2 linked regions of the Arabidopsis thaliana genome follow. The protein of the gene in region 1 purifies or fractionates together with the protein of each later gene. This does not show direct contact. Each region holds a gene or a part of one and is shown in the gene's direction. Other genes may lie near its edges.

What was found.
Region 2: the proteins of AT1G44000 (region 1) and NYC1 purify together in Arabidopsis thaliana (affinity purification with western blotting, with the first as the bait; one study listed by BioGRID). This does not show direct contact.

The regions. Positions count from the first base shown.
Region 1 is NC_003070.9:16,705,991-16,712,961, reverse strand, and holds AT1G44000 (STAY-GREEN-like protein), read left to right. Parts: upstream 1-3,248; 5' UTR 3,249-3,440; coding exon 3,441-3,626; intron 3,627-3,992; coding exon 3,993-4,337; intron 4,338-4,425; coding exon 4,426-4,572; intron 4,573-4,656; coding exon 4,657-4,761; 3' UTR 4,762-4,958; downstream 4,959-6,971. UniProt on the Arabidopsis thaliana protein: Magnesium chelatase involved in chlorophyll a degradation in the chlorophyll-protein complexes of photosystem I (PSI) and photosystem II (PSII). Contributes to the degradation of PSI and PSII in the thylakoid membranes.
Region 2 is NC_003075.7:7,681,517-7,689,904, reverse strand, and holds NYC1 (NAD(P)-binding Rossmann-fold superfamily protein), read left to right. Parts: upstream 1-2,898; 5' UTR 2,899-3,213; coding exon 3,214-3,504; intron 3,505-3,596; coding exon 3,597-3,675; intron 3,676-3,761; coding exon 3,762-3,897; intron 3,898-3,989; coding exon 3,990-4,064; intron 4,065-4,159; coding exon 4,160-4,355; intron 4,356-4,445; coding exon 4,446-4,514; intron 4,515-4,600; coding exon 4,601-4,740; intron 4,741-4,813; coding exon 4,814-4,936; intron 4,937-5,012; coding exon 5,013-5,205; intron 5,206-5,299; coding exon 5,300-5,488; 3' UTR 5,489-5,671; downstream 5,672-8,388. Other genes in the region: ROPGEF9 (RHO guanyl-nucleotide exchange factor 9), read right to left, coding at 7,491-7,883, 8,106-8,388. UniProt on the Arabidopsis thaliana protein: Involved in chlorophyll b degradation. Belongs to the chlorophyll catabolic enzymes (CCEs).

The DNA.
Region 1 (6,971 bases):
TGATAAATTTATCTATTTAATATAATTATTATTTTTTATGATTAGATTCATGTATAACTCGAAATATCTATTCTACTACAATATGAATATTTATATATTTATTATTCTAATATTTCACTATCATGATTACATACTACAACAATATATGATATATTGATACAATGTATGTAGTTATATTACTTATGTGTTTTGAAATTTGCCTAACTTATTTGTAACAAACAATTCTTTATTCCATATATTCTCTCATCATCTAGTACACAATCACATCATGATATGCTAGTAATTTAAGTCAACACTTTAATTCTCATCCCTACCATATAGTCATATAGAGTCTCATGTTATTGTTTTTTTGGTATGTCTAATGTCTTGGATGACTATTACGTGAAAAAATTGTATATCAATGTTATAAAGTTATCAGAACGCACAAAATTGTACAGAAAGAAGGTCATATGATAAATCAAATTCACAAAACATAATAATAATAAAATATCCAACTAAAATTACTAAATTAATATGAGGTTAGGTAGCAAACATGTAAACTACAACACAAGTAAATTTTTAGCCATTATGGATTATGACTATTGATAAAAAAAATTTAAATAAAATAAGTAGAATATAATGAAAGTAGTGCTTGGTACATTATTATGATTTTTTTCTTTATTGAATGTTTTTAGAAAATTCATTTAAGAGTGAGATTAATGGAGAATTTAATACAACAAAAGACTTTTGATTTTTTCTCAATTAGTTTTGCTAGTTTTTTAATTTAATTAATGTATAATGACACATGTCATTTTTTGTGTGATGAAGATAGTATGATGATTATGGTATGGTGATGATGGTGATGGTAATATGATATTATGAGATGGTAATGATGATGATGATATTGTGTTGATAATGAATAAATTGATGGGTTGGTGAAGCCATTTGTAAAAAGATTGATTATATTCAATTGATTTAGAGGTTTTGGTTAAACTCAAATTGATATCGATTTAGATATTTAAGTTGGATTAATTCAATTTAGCCAAAATTGGTGGGTTAAATGGGTAAACCATTAACCCATTGAAACCCAACTCATTTGATCCATCTAACCATTTGACCCAATAACTCATTTGAACTATCAATTCATTTGAGTGAAAAATTTCATCTCATTAGGGTTCATGGGTTGAGTTGAATTGGGTTGACCCATGAAACTTGATCCATTTTGACGTCCCTAATTCCATAGATAGAAGCATTAACCCACGTCTCACTACCAATTGATAATTTTTATTTTTTACTTTGATAAATGATAATACTTGAGATCAATATACTATTTTATCAATATATATATATATTTCTAACTTTCAATATATAACTTGAGAAGATTGTTTTCTCATACATATATAATTTTCTGTTGTTTTTAAATCATAAGAAAACTCTTCTTTTTCATTTTTATATAGCTTGTTAATATTTTTAATATATCCAATCATGCACTTTATGCATATAAACTGGGTTTAATAATGCCTCGCCAGCTTCTTTCTTTAAATAGATCCCATCTTCTCTTGCTCTCCAATCCCATAGGCCTCCTTGATCCCTCAAACTAAAAAGCTTGAATACTGTAAAGTTCTGATAGTGTATATAGTTAGGACCTTGTCTCAAAGTACACATAAAACGTGTTGAATGCCAAAAGTTAATATGGAAAATATTTTCATAATATTGTCGGTTTGGTATTATATTTGGACCTAATACATCATCTTTGGAATAACATCTCATCCAAAGATTTTTTTTGAATTTGAGTTCGTTCGAGATCCTGATCCCGGCGCCATACACATGACGAAGCATGCAAAGGCTAAAAACAAATAGAAAGACCGAGAGTTTTTTCATTTACTTTTTGACTTTTTGGTAGATGTTTCGTTCTTTGGTTGTTTTAACTTTGTTTTGGTGTTATTATATATATATATATATATAAATCTGTATTACTAATATTGACTTTAGATTTCCTTTAATATCAGTTCTAAGTTTTCACATATATGATATATGTCAACTATCATAATAATATAATATGCAAGATATTATACTATTAGAATCCAAATTTCTTATAATAATATTTTAGGTAAACATAAATCTATTTAAATTGAATTTTAAAGAAAAAATAATAAAATCAAGTAGCAATTACTGTATGTAAGATCAACTATAAGCCTTGAGAAAAGAACAAAAAAATAAGTTTTTCTAAAAAAATATACAATACTTGTTTATATTATTTTTTATTATTATAGAAAGTCCAAAACTCCAATTCCAAATAAATATATTCTCTAAATTATTATAGTATTATGCTTAAATGCTTTTTACCTTTTGCCATGTAACCATTGTATAGGTCTATAATTTTTCTATTGTAACCTAAGTTGTTTTCATTTTTAATGAAATACTAGATAATCACCCGCTCTACTACAAGAAAACACGGGTTTTCAAACTACAACATTAGTAGCAATATAGTCGTTAAAGTAGAAGTTACGACTATATTACGAGTAATAGCCTTAGTCGTTAATCCAGAGTCGCTAAACAAAATAGTCGTAACTTTAATCGCTAAATGACGACTACGATACGACTAATACCCGCTGTCATAACATTAGTCATATTGTACTCGTAAAATATAACGACTGAGTTACGATTGAATCACATGAATAACGAGTATCGTAGAGACTCCTCTGCGATTATTTAGCGACCACCTAGATGAAATTTTTTAAAATTAAATAAATAGAATAGAATGAAAGTTGTGCTTGGTACATTATTATAATTTTTATTTATTGAATGGTTTTAGAAAATTCATTTAAGAGTGAGATTAATGGAGAATTTAACACAACAAAAGACTTTTGTTTTTTTCTCAATTAGTTTTGCTAGTTTTTTAATTTAATTAATGTAGAATTACACTTGTCATTTTCTTGTGTGATGATGTGTCACTCATATGGAGAGTATTAGCCAACTTTCATATATATGATCCCCCTAATGAACTTTTTTTGTAAATATAAATAAACTTGGTTATACACCAATGATATGTATCATATAGTTTGGTATTTGGTACCTTTGCAAACTTGTATAATAAAATTATACAATTCATTTTATATTAACTTGGACTCTAATATTGAAGCCACCATAGCTCATTATCTATAGATATGAAAAAAACAAAAGGACTTGCTGACGTGGAACAACTCTCAACTCCATCCACCAATCACAATATTTCGATATAAATAAATAATATCACGAAATCCAAAATCAATTTGCAAAATCGAATTTGTGTGGAGAAAGAAGCTCGTCACCAAGACTGAATTTGTGGCTACGTCTAAAACACATTCTTCCACATCTCTTCTCTGTTTCTCAAGACAAAAAAAGAAAAAATGGTGGAAGATGAACAATGACGAAGAATCATTGTTATTGTTCATGCATTAACCTTGTTGTTATGTTCCTCCATGGCCTGTTACATCGTTCCTTATTACCACCATCCTGTTTTGTCTCATCCCAATAGAGAAATCTTCAGTCACCGTCACCACCACCACCACCGTTTCTGCAACAATCTCTTGAATAGAAGAATTAGTGTTCCTCGAAGCTCCGCTATTAGTGACGGTGGTGTCTCCTACAATACTCTAGTCTCCGAGGTAAGCCAAGTTTCAGGGCAAATTTTCTAATTCATCTTGATTTTTAGTAGATTTGTGTAGTTTATGATCATAATTGAATTGGGTCTGGCTTTAATTTTGAATTTGAGGTCTTGAAAATGCAAAAAGATCGAACTTTACAATACTCTAGTCTCCGAGGTAAGCCAAATTTTAGGGTTAATTCGTTTTAATCCTCATTGATATTTTTTTAGTAAAGGTTGTAGATTTCTGTTGTTTATAACCATAATTGAATTGGGTCTAGCTTTAATTTTGAATTTGAGGTCTTGAAAATGCAAAAAAGATCAAAATTTGATTACATGTTTAAGTAGTGGAGTTAGTTGATAATGTGAATGTTGATGGTGTTATTAGGCGGTGAGGCTTTTGGTTCCACAAGCAAACTTTGATTCTTCAAAGCTTAAAGTTGAGTTCTTAGGAGAGTTATTGGAGAACAAGAGTAACGGAGGAATTATTACGCCGCGGACTTATATTCTTTCGCATTGTGACTTCACTGCTAACTTAACGTTAACAATCTCAAACGTTATCAATCTGGATCAACTAGAAGGCTGGTACAAGAAAGATGATGTGGTTGCTGAGTGGAAGAAGGTGAATGATGAGCTGCGTTTACATATTCATTGTTGTGTGAGTGGTATGAGTTTATTGCAGGATGTTGCTGCTGAGCTTAGGTATCATATTTTCTCCAAGGAATTGCCTTTGGTTAGTCTTCTTCATCTTTTGTCTATTTGGTTCTTAATGAATGTGAAAATGACTATCTAATAACTCTTTGGTGTTGTGTTTGAGATAGGTACTTAAAGCTGTGGTGCATGGAGATTCAGTTATGTTTAGAGAGAATCCTGAGCTAATGGATGCTTATGTATGGGTTTATTTCCATTCAAGCACACCTAAGTACAATCGGATCGAGTGTTGGGGACCTCTTAAGGATGCTGCGAAGGTATGATCTAATTCGCGCTGGCTCGGCTTATTGTTTGTCCTTTTTATGGAAATGTGAAATCTTTGTGTGTTTTTGGTGGTGAAGGGAAAGCAGCAGGGCAATCATCAAGGCTTCTTGAGTTCGACGACTTCGAGGAAATTGATTCGACATAAGTCTATCTTCCATACCTTATTTACGTTTCTTCTGTGAGACAAAGTTGTACATTCTCCTGTGTTTTTTTTTGCAAATGATGTAGATTTCTTAATGAGCATCTGACACAAGTGCAATTTGCCAACATTCAAATGTTCATACTTGGGAAATTTATGAGAGCCTAGTTTTCTTTATGCTTCTTCAATATTAGTTGTATTGTAGCTCAAATTGAAATCCATTGGTGAGAACATTTCAGACAAGCAGGTCACATAAAGTGGGAGAGTCAAAGTTGTGGGAATTCCTTGCTCTAACCATCAGTTCAAGACTGTTAAAAGTAAATTCTTCTAAAAGAGAGACAATTGTTGGATGATAAACTTAAAAGTCCGAATTATGCAAGTCAATCCCACAATCTCAAAAGTCACCCGCAATACAACTCTCCCGTATAACGATGATGTGACACTCAATAACTCTTTTTAAAAACATAAGAGTTTTATGAAAAAAACTCTCAATTTTTTTTTTTTTTGCAAGACAAACCTTCATATCTAATAAATACAGGTCAAACCACAATCTAAAAAATATCTTGCAACATAGCCCTTCCGTGTATTGATAACGTGACAGTCGATAACTCATTTTTGAATCGATAACCGTAACTAACCAAATTTTTTTCAGATTCGTTTTTCTTTCTTTCAAAATTAACTAAAATTAACCAAATTTAACCAAATTTAACCAAACTTAACAAAAAAAATACAAAGAGGAAAATATTAGAAAAGAAAATTAAAATTTTGGTTCTATTTTATAAAAGAGTATTTAATTTTCACAAATATAACTAACAATATTTGGATATTTTGATTATTTAAAGTATTTGATTGTTTTGGTTCTAAAAATAATTAATATTTTAAGTTTAGAATTATAGTTATAGGTACTAATTTTGGATATTTACTAAGTTTCTGGATATTTCGGTTAATTGTTTGGCTATCAGTTCAATTTTATTTTATTTAAAACTTAAATCAATAACTCTATTAAATTATATGCATTAAAGTAATATATTCGATAGACTTATAAATTATATGCATTAAAGTAATGAGTTATCGACTGTCACGTCATCGATACACGAAATGGCTATGTTGCAAGAGATTTTTCAGATTGTGGTTTGACCTGTATTTATTTGACATGGAGGTTTGTCTTGCAAAAGAAAATTAAATTGAGGGTTTTTTTGCACAAAACCCAAAAGAGTAATTGAGGTCCACGTCATCGGTACACGAGAGGGCTGTATTGCGGGTGACTTTTGAGGTTGTGGGATTGACTTGCATATTTCGGACTTGGAGGGTAAACTTGCAAACGAGATTTACTTGAATGGTTATTTTGCAGAAAACTCTAAGATTAACAATACAAAATTTTCACTTTAAGAATTGATTTTACGTCTTAGCTCAAAATACAGGAGTACTTAATTAAGATAAATTGATCCTATTTGAAAAGGGAAAATGTCAGAACAAATCGTGAACTTTCAAATTTGGGACGAAAATGCAAGAACTTTCGAAATATTATTTAAGTCACAAAGTTTCGTTTGTTTTTTACTTAATAAAAATTGTTAAATATCGTTGACTTGGCCATTTTGGGCACGTCGTTAAATTCAGATTAACAGAGTTAATCTTCTGTTAAATCGAAATGACGTCATTTTTAAAGCTCCAAAACGACGTTATTTCATTAGAAAATAATGATGCAAGATTGGCGTCCACATGGAATTAAACATATAACCTATTGGACTCATAAGGAACAATCTACCGCTGATTTACGGTAGTAATTTACAATAATAGCAAACATTGCATACATATACTAACAAATAATAATATACTATTAATTGAAAATATATGCAAGAAATTTAAAATAACAAAATTAAAAAATAAAAATATTAAATAAACTAACCCTTATATATTTTTAAATTTTTCAAACATTTAATTTTATATAAATAAAGACTTCTATTTGAAAAATTATAGATCTCTTTAGAATTCACATAAGTCTTTGCAATTGTATTTTTGGAATAAATAAAAACTGAAAAACTGAAAATTTAAAATAATTCGCATAAGTCTTTTCTATTGTATTTTCTATATTTGGAATACAGAAAAACTGAAAATTATAAATAATTTCTCAAATATAAAAAACATATATATCGAAAATTAAATATTTAAATTTTCAAAATATATATGTATGGTAAGTGTATTTAATATTTGTATATATTTGTTTTTTTGTAGTTTTCTAATTTTTAATTTATT
Region 2 (8,388 bases), on another chromosome or scaffold:
AGTCAAAATACAGAGGCTCCTCAATGTGGTCAAGTACGTGTATGGACTGCCAGAATGAGTGGGATATGGTTTAAAATAAGTTATAATAATCCATCTGGAAGATATATACGAGGTTGGAAGTATTGAAAACGGGTTCTAATATTTTTGTAAAACTGTTTAAATTTATGTAATTCTTCAGCTGCTTATGACATGAACAAAAGTTATAATTCATGTCAATTGTTTTTCTAATATATATGTCATTTGATATCCATGTAATTGAATACATATGATAAGAGGGAAAAAAATTCTTTTTTAATACTTTTCCTTTTTCTCATCAAACGCCACTTTTTTAGACTGAAAGAGGAGATTAGGGTGATGATGATGAAAGTAAAGAAGAATCTGAGTTTAGGTAGAAGTTGATGGATGTTGAACTCTACTCTACTCGACGTGTCCCAACTATACTAAAGTGTCTACAATCATGGCTCTCTACCACATAAAAGTTAAAAGTGGTATATCCAAGAACTAATTTGATCAGTTCATGAAATTAGTTCACGACATGTTACATGTGGATAATGTTCTTCCAAAATCTGTTCATGAGATGAAGAAGCTCTTGAAGCTTTTTGGTTTTAGTTATGATTTGATTTACACATGATTGCATCCTTTATCGAAAGATGTTTGAGGAGTTTGTTAGCTGTCCAAGATATAGTGCTTCGAGATGGAAGTAAGATAAGCATACTAGAGAGGAAAAGAAGGGGTTCCCGCAAAGGTTCAGAGGTATTTTTCGATCTAAGGATAGATTTAGGAGGATATTTAGATTAAAAAGGATTGCTTAGGAGTTGTGTTGGCATTTCAACAATGCTAGTGTAGACGGTCCAATGCGACACCCAGTTGATTCATTGACTTGGTCTCAAATAAAAGATAAGTTTTCAAAGTATTCTACTAAACCAAGGAACCTTCGACTCGGCTTTTTTACAGATAGGATGAACTCGTTCTCTATGCAGAAAAAAGTATTGTACATGATCGATGTTGTTAGTCAACTACAACATGTTGCCGACTATGTGTATGAAGGCTGGGAACATCATGATGACTATGCTCTTCCCTAGACCAACTGCACCACACAACAACATAGATGTGTATCTTGCACCTATTATAGATGATCTAAATGGTGTGTGGAAAGAATGTATAGAGGTTTATGATTCTTATATGAAGGAGAATTGCACACTTAGAACTATATTGTTGTGGGCTATTAGTGATTATCTTGCCTTAGGAACACTGGTTAGATGTATGGTTAAAGGGAAATAGGAGTGTAACATATCTGGTAAGGACACACCAACATGCATGTTTTATTTTGCTTTAGTCAAATTTTGACAACACGACTACTGGAAGTGCACAGTTAATCGTCTGTAGTATAATGGGCTTTCTAAACCCATTCCAACTCTCATTTAGTATGATATTGTCCTCTTTGGGCTTATATGCTCAAGCCCGCAAGGATTTGTTATTGGGTTCCTTCCCAAAAGGTCTCATACTAGTTGGAGTTGGACTTGGCTTATATATTAGAAACTCTTTTTCTAAACTTTCGATGTGGGACCTTTGGTTTGTACCCAACAATCTCCCCTTCAAACCAAAGACCACGAACTTGGACCTCCTTCTTGAGGCACCTTCTTATCGTGTCATGTTTGAGAGATTTTCCCACATCGATCATAGCCCAAGCCCTAGGTCCAGTGTTTCAACCTGGCTCTGATACCATTTAATGGGCTTTCAAAGCCCATTCCAACTCTCATTTAGTATGATATTGTCCTCTTTGGGCTTATATGCTCAAGCCCACAAAGATTTGTTATTGGGTTCCTTCCCAAAAGGCCTCATACTAGTTGGAGTTGGACTTGGCTTATATATTAGAAACTCTTTTTCTAAACTTTCGATGTGGGACCTTTGGTTTGTATCCAACATAGTATTTATGGATCGAATTCCATTGGAAGAGAAGTAATTCAAACAAGTCTGTCAGAAGAGAGTAAAACTAGGACAAATCAATAAAAGAGGGGGAAAGGGTTGTTATTGTGTCACAGTTGTAAGTAAGTGAAGCAAGTAAATAGTAAGTGATCAATAAGAGACAAAAGTTGGACATTCAAGGGATCGTAGGGGTTCAATGATCTTCATGATCTAATCATGTTTATTTCCATGTTTTCGAGCATATAAAACACATAAAATTCAGCTACTGAGGAAAAATATATAAACGCATATATACATATGTACACGTCCACATACTTTCACGTTTAGGTTTTCGTTATTAGGGAAGTTGGACTTTTAATAGGTTTACTGATATTTGGGTCTCACGTAAAGCAGACCGGCTCTTTGGAGGTGCATGAGGCGCATTTGTTCTAGATCCAAATTTTTTTTGGTAAATTTAAGGATCTGATTAGTATGGAAAAGACCTACAATTTTTTTTTTTTTAGTATGAAAATGTCAATTTTAATGTGTTTTTAAAAAATTAGCATAAAAAGGGTCCAAATTTTTGTTTTATAGTTTAGAAAAAGATTAATTTTTAAAATTTGTACAGGGACTATAAATTTATTGAGTTGGTAGAGACAAAAAGCTTAAAGTTTACACAAAGGAGAAAATTATCATAAACACAAACATTATCAACTTTTCTTTGTTTGATATTAAATTTTTAATTTATAATTTTTTATTGTTCTAAAATAATATAAATAAGTAAGTGGTAGTTTGACAATAATCTCTATCATCTACTCAAATGTGACAATGGATACTACAATAATTTACTCAGGTACATAAGTAATGACGAAGTCTGAGTAAAATGTAATTTGAAATCAAATTTTGGCTTTCTAGAAGCAAAACTGAATCAAAATTTTGTTCATGTGAACCAAAATCTAAAGTAGCTCCCAAAGAGAGAAAAAAATATCTTGAAAACATGCGAAGGGACAAAAGAAACACAAAATGACACGTGTCAATGTTAGGCTAACGAGATGAGGTTGCTGTAACGTGTGGCCATCACACTTCTCTTCCTTCTTTCTTTCCCTCACCTCTTTCTTTCTTCGTCCTAATCTCCTTCTTCTTCCTCCGATCACTCTATTTAACGTCTTCGACGAATCCGAAGCTGAAAAATATCTAACAATCTATCTTTTGGGTCCCTAAAAAAGCTCCTTCGTTTATCTTGTTTTCTAAGTTATCTTTTTGTATGAGTTTCAAAGCTTATCATTATCTCACTCTTCTTCCATAGCTATGACTACTTTAACGAAGATTCAAGTGTACCCACAAGTCTTGGAGCACCGTCTCTTCTTCAGAGATCCGATACGGGTCGGGTCAAGATTGACTTGTAGAGAACGTAGTAATAGGGTTTATGTGCATCGGTGTGAGAAAAAAGTTGAAAGAAAGAGAAAAGTTGAGAAATTTAAGGGAAATGGGTCGTGGGATTCTTTGAAATCTGGGTTTTTAGGGTTTAGTAAATTAGGGTTCTTGTCTAAAGATGAGTATAATCAGAAAGTTGAAAACTTGGAGATGGTTTTCTCTTCGGTTAGTCTTAAAGTTTCCTCTTTTTTTCTTAATGAAATTTTCAATCTTTTTGCTTTGATTAGCTTAATTTTTATGTGTTTGTGATTTTGTAGGTTGCTGTTCAAATTGCGAGATACATTGTGACGATGACAAGTACTGGAGCTATTCTTTTGATTGGGTTTCAATTATCAGGTTAGTGCAAAAACTATTGTAGAAGAGTTTTTTTATTGGTAATTTTGTTTGACTGAGATTTTGAGTGTATGTATTTGTGATGAAAGGTGGAGATAGTTCGATGAACTCATTGGTTTGGTATAGTTGGCTTGGTGGAATTATCATTGGAACCATGACTGGTGCTAACATGGTTTTGGAAGATCATTATCGAGCCGGTCCACGGAATGTTGTTATAACCGGAAGGTACCTTCTTTACTTTTGTTTTTGCATTTTTTGATTTTTGTTTCTTTGTGTTTTGGTTTGATGCTGATGTATGTTTTTATGCTGTGTTTTAGCACTAGGGGACTAGGGAAAGCTCTTGCTAGAGAGTTTCTTCTCTCTGGAGACAGAGTCATTGTCACATCTCGCAGGTTGATAAATTGTATATATGGAATTATGGATTAGTTTTTATCAAGCAATGAAGTCTTAATATGATTTGTTTTTTGGTTTTTGTTTGTGAAATCAGTTCTGAATCTGTTGATATGACTGTCAAAGAGCTAGAGCAAAATCTCAAAGAGATTATGAGTAACGCTAGCGAGTCAGCTAGAAAGAAACTGAGTGATGCTAAGGTAGTTGGTATTGCCTGTGATGTTTGCAAACCCGAAGACGTTGAGAAGCTGTCGAATTTCGCTGTAAAAGAGCTTGGTTCCATCAACATATGGGTAAAGAAACATATTTCTTTTTGTACAGTTTGTAACTTTTTTTGTATCTTTAGTCATATGTTTGCTCACTGTCTATATTCATTTGGATAGATAAACAATGCTGGTACTAACAAAGGTTTTAGACCGCTACTCGAGTTCACGGAAGAAGATATCACACAGGTAAAATCCTTTTTGAACCTAAAGCTTAATTTCAGCTTGAGCTTATGGTGAAGTTCATTAGTCTAATTGTAACTATTATTTTGTAGATTGTCTCCACAAATTTGATTGGATCAATTCTATGTACACGAGGGGCTATGGATGTGATGAGCAGACAGCACAGTGGTGGACACATCTTTAACATGGATGGTGCTGGCTCTGGAGGTTCAAGTACTCCTCTCACTGCCGTGTAAGAACTCAAATCATTCGTTACTAGTCTCTAATGAATTAGAACACATTTCTGAGTCTGTGAGCTTTCGCAGATATGGTTCAACAAAATGTGGACTTAGGCAGTTTCATGGGTCTATAGTGAAAGAAAGCCAAAAAACAAACGTTGGCCTTCACACTGCATCCCCTGGCATGGTTCTGACAGAACTTCTTCTCAGGTATGCATACACTTTGTCACTAAGGCCTAGAACAGAATGCTCCGGAGTTTTATTGAAGCAACCATTTATTTGGCAGTGGTTCGAGCATTAAAAACAAGCAGATGTTTAACATAATCTGTGAGCTTCCTGAGACAGTAGCTAGAACTTTGGTACCACGAATGCGAGTTGTGAAAGGTTCGGGAAAAGCCGTCAATTACCTAACTCCTCCTCGGATATTGTTAGCTATTGTCACTTCCTGGCTAAGGAGAGGCCGATGGTTTGATGACCAAGTAAGTGTTACACTTGAGTTCTAGTTCAAGTTTTTTGACAAATCCTTCACTTGGTTAAGCCTGAGCTGACGCAAAGATGTGTACGTGTTTGCAGGGACGGGCGTTATATGCAGCAGAAGCAGATAGACTAAGGAACTGGGCAGAGAACAGGACGAGGTTGTCGTTAACAGACGCGATGGAGATGTATACAGAGAATACTTGGGTCTCTGTTTTCTCTCTTTCTGTTGTTTGCGCTTTCATCATCTTACAAAGCACAACACCTAGCTCTTTTCCAGGCACATAACAAACATCTTCCTCGGATGTGTTTTAAGAAAATTGTAAACGTACATGTTATGTATAAAAAACATATATATAACAGAACCGATTTGTTCATGTAAACACTTCTTATAGTTGTAGAATGTGTCGTTGTTGAAAACAATGAAAAAATAGATTGTAATAAACTTTTATCAGATTGTAGTATTTTCTAGTTTTCACTAGTTGGGCCTTTAAAGGCCCATTAAGCGGAGTTAAAAAAACACAGCTCCAATAACATTGCATCAATAAAAAAAGTGGAGGGCCATCAGATAGGAGCGAAAGACTGTGCTACTGAATAGTAATCATGGAGATCATTTGAACTATGCATTATTAATCATCACTTGACCCTTTTTTCCAAATAAACAAAAACAAACCAAAGATTGTTTGGCCTCATAGAGAAGATTAGATTTTATCAACAAGGATTAATTCAGACATATGCTTGTCTATTTTTTTGATTAAATCATTGGCCAAAAAAATCGATTAGAAGAAAGATTGAAAAACAAAAGTCAAAAAGTAGGACTCAGAATATGGGTGGTGATATAACAGAATGGTCGGCAAATAGGCTTTTTACGGCCGTTTTTACGACGAACGAGACCTTAAATATCAATCGTCACTGTCCGGAAGAAAAAAAAAAACAATTTTGTAATACGACAATAACAAAAGTAAGGGTTGGAGAAAGTATAAGGATTTGATTACGAGAGCAATTTGTAGCTTGAGAGATGATAAGCTTCTCTCTCTCTTTGGGTTTTTATACAGAAAATAAATATGGAGCGCTAGGGTTTTCTCACTCGTTAAGATTCTGACACGTGTCCACTGTTACATCTGACGGTGCTCAACATCACACACCGCTACGGACGTTGTTGGGCTTATCATAGTTTGGGCTTTACCAGGGCTTACTATCAAATTAGAAATCGTTCATGTAGCCGAGTTTGGATTTAAGTTAAAAACTGGATTTGGGTTAAACCGTTAAAACCGGCCGAAACTTTGGATTCACAAAATTTAAAATCATAATCTTTTAAGTAAATATGGTTTTGAGTAGTCAAAATTAGTTATACAAACTCTTAATGCAAACTCTATTTTCCAAAGTTACATTTCTATTTTTATTTATCAATTCTATGATAAAAAAACGAAAAAAAAAACGAAAATTTCAACAAAAAAAAGTCCAAAGTGTTATAAATAAATGTTTTATTTTATGGTGGATATAAATACTATAAATAATAAAGAAAATATTACATCCGCAAAGATCAGAATATTAAATAATAAAGAGAAAAAAGTGAGATTTATCTTTAGACGATTATTATCTGATATTTTTGTATTAAAATAAAAATACCTCATCTAATTATTAGTAATTTTAATATATTTTGTATATAAATAATTACGAGTTTAATTCCACAAATTATTAATTTATGAAGTATTTTAAAATCACAAATAATTAGTTGGGGTATTTTTATTCTAATATAAAAATAACGGATAATAATCGTCCAATTAAAATTATTTTGGATTTGTTTTTGGATTTTTCCAAAAATTAAAAGAAAATCGTATCTTTGCTACTCAATTTTTTTCTTATCGGAGCAAACGACTTCATGTGCACACACACAAAAAGAAAAAATTATGATGACATTTCTTTTTTAGTTTACATATTCTGCATAGTACTCAAACATATTACTAATTAACTGTTAATTAAGTAGTCAAATGTGGCTGCTGTTTGTAGTTTGTTTTTATTTTCTCAATATGATTTTTATACAATAAAATGAATTAGTAACTGAATTTTTTATTTTATTTTATAGTAAATGATTTGTTTTTATCAAAACAAAATTATTGAGAATTGATGTGGGGGTAACATGTTGTTTTACTTCTCTGTCCAAGAAACAAAACTGGAAGGAAGATAATAGTTAATTGCTAATTGTTTCATTCTTTTGCCTAAATATACACACTTATATGGCTTCTTCAATTGTATCATTTTAGTTGTTCACATGTCTTTTGATTCATCTTCAATGCCTATCTTTAGGGCTCCTAAAACCATTTAAGTTCTCAAGCTTCTCCAAATATGAGAGTTTCTTTGGCGTCATTCTCGGAGATTTTGGAGGTTTCTCTGACTGCCCTTTTGAACTATTGTCACTCCAACCAATAAAATCAAGCAATGTCGTCTTTGATGAGTTTTGTGATTCAAGCTTCTCTATTTCCTCTCCTGAGTAGTTCGAAGATCCAGCAGACGCTGAGTCCGTTTCCGTTGCTATTTTCCCACCATCTGATGTTTCTTCACCTGTGCATTGCTTCCGGGCTAAAGAATCCGCATAAAGTACATCGTCGATTCTCGACATTTCCGTGTACCCTAAGCTCTCTAATATCCTTGAGTAGCTCTCCAAAACCGCATGTCCCACATCCTATAGTTAGAACACATAAAGTGACAAATGAACCACCATATAATATACAACCAAAGTACGGTTAGTTAGTGTTGTTAATCTTATTTAAAATTTACTAAAAAATGTTATATCAAAAATTTATATATGATTCATGACCACCAATATTTTCAGAATCTTTCCTAGATGATGATTTGTCCGATCATATCGGAATAACAAAATAAAGCAATAACATTTGAGCATTACCTTGTTATACTGAATTTTGGAAATGTCAAGGGAAGATTGGGGAAGACCAGGGAACTTTTGTTTAAGCAAGACCAAGATCGTCTCGGCTCTCTCTTCGAACAACTCTCGTTTCTCCAAGCTCACAGCTGATCCCCAAGAAGATTTGTTGTCTTTTAGATGAAGTTTTCTTTTCCATATAACGATTGAGGCCTCAATCCTATTCTTCACATCCAACACTTTGTGCTCTGTAGATAAGTCAAGTGTTGACAAGAACTGCTCTGGATCAAACCACTCTTCTGTTATG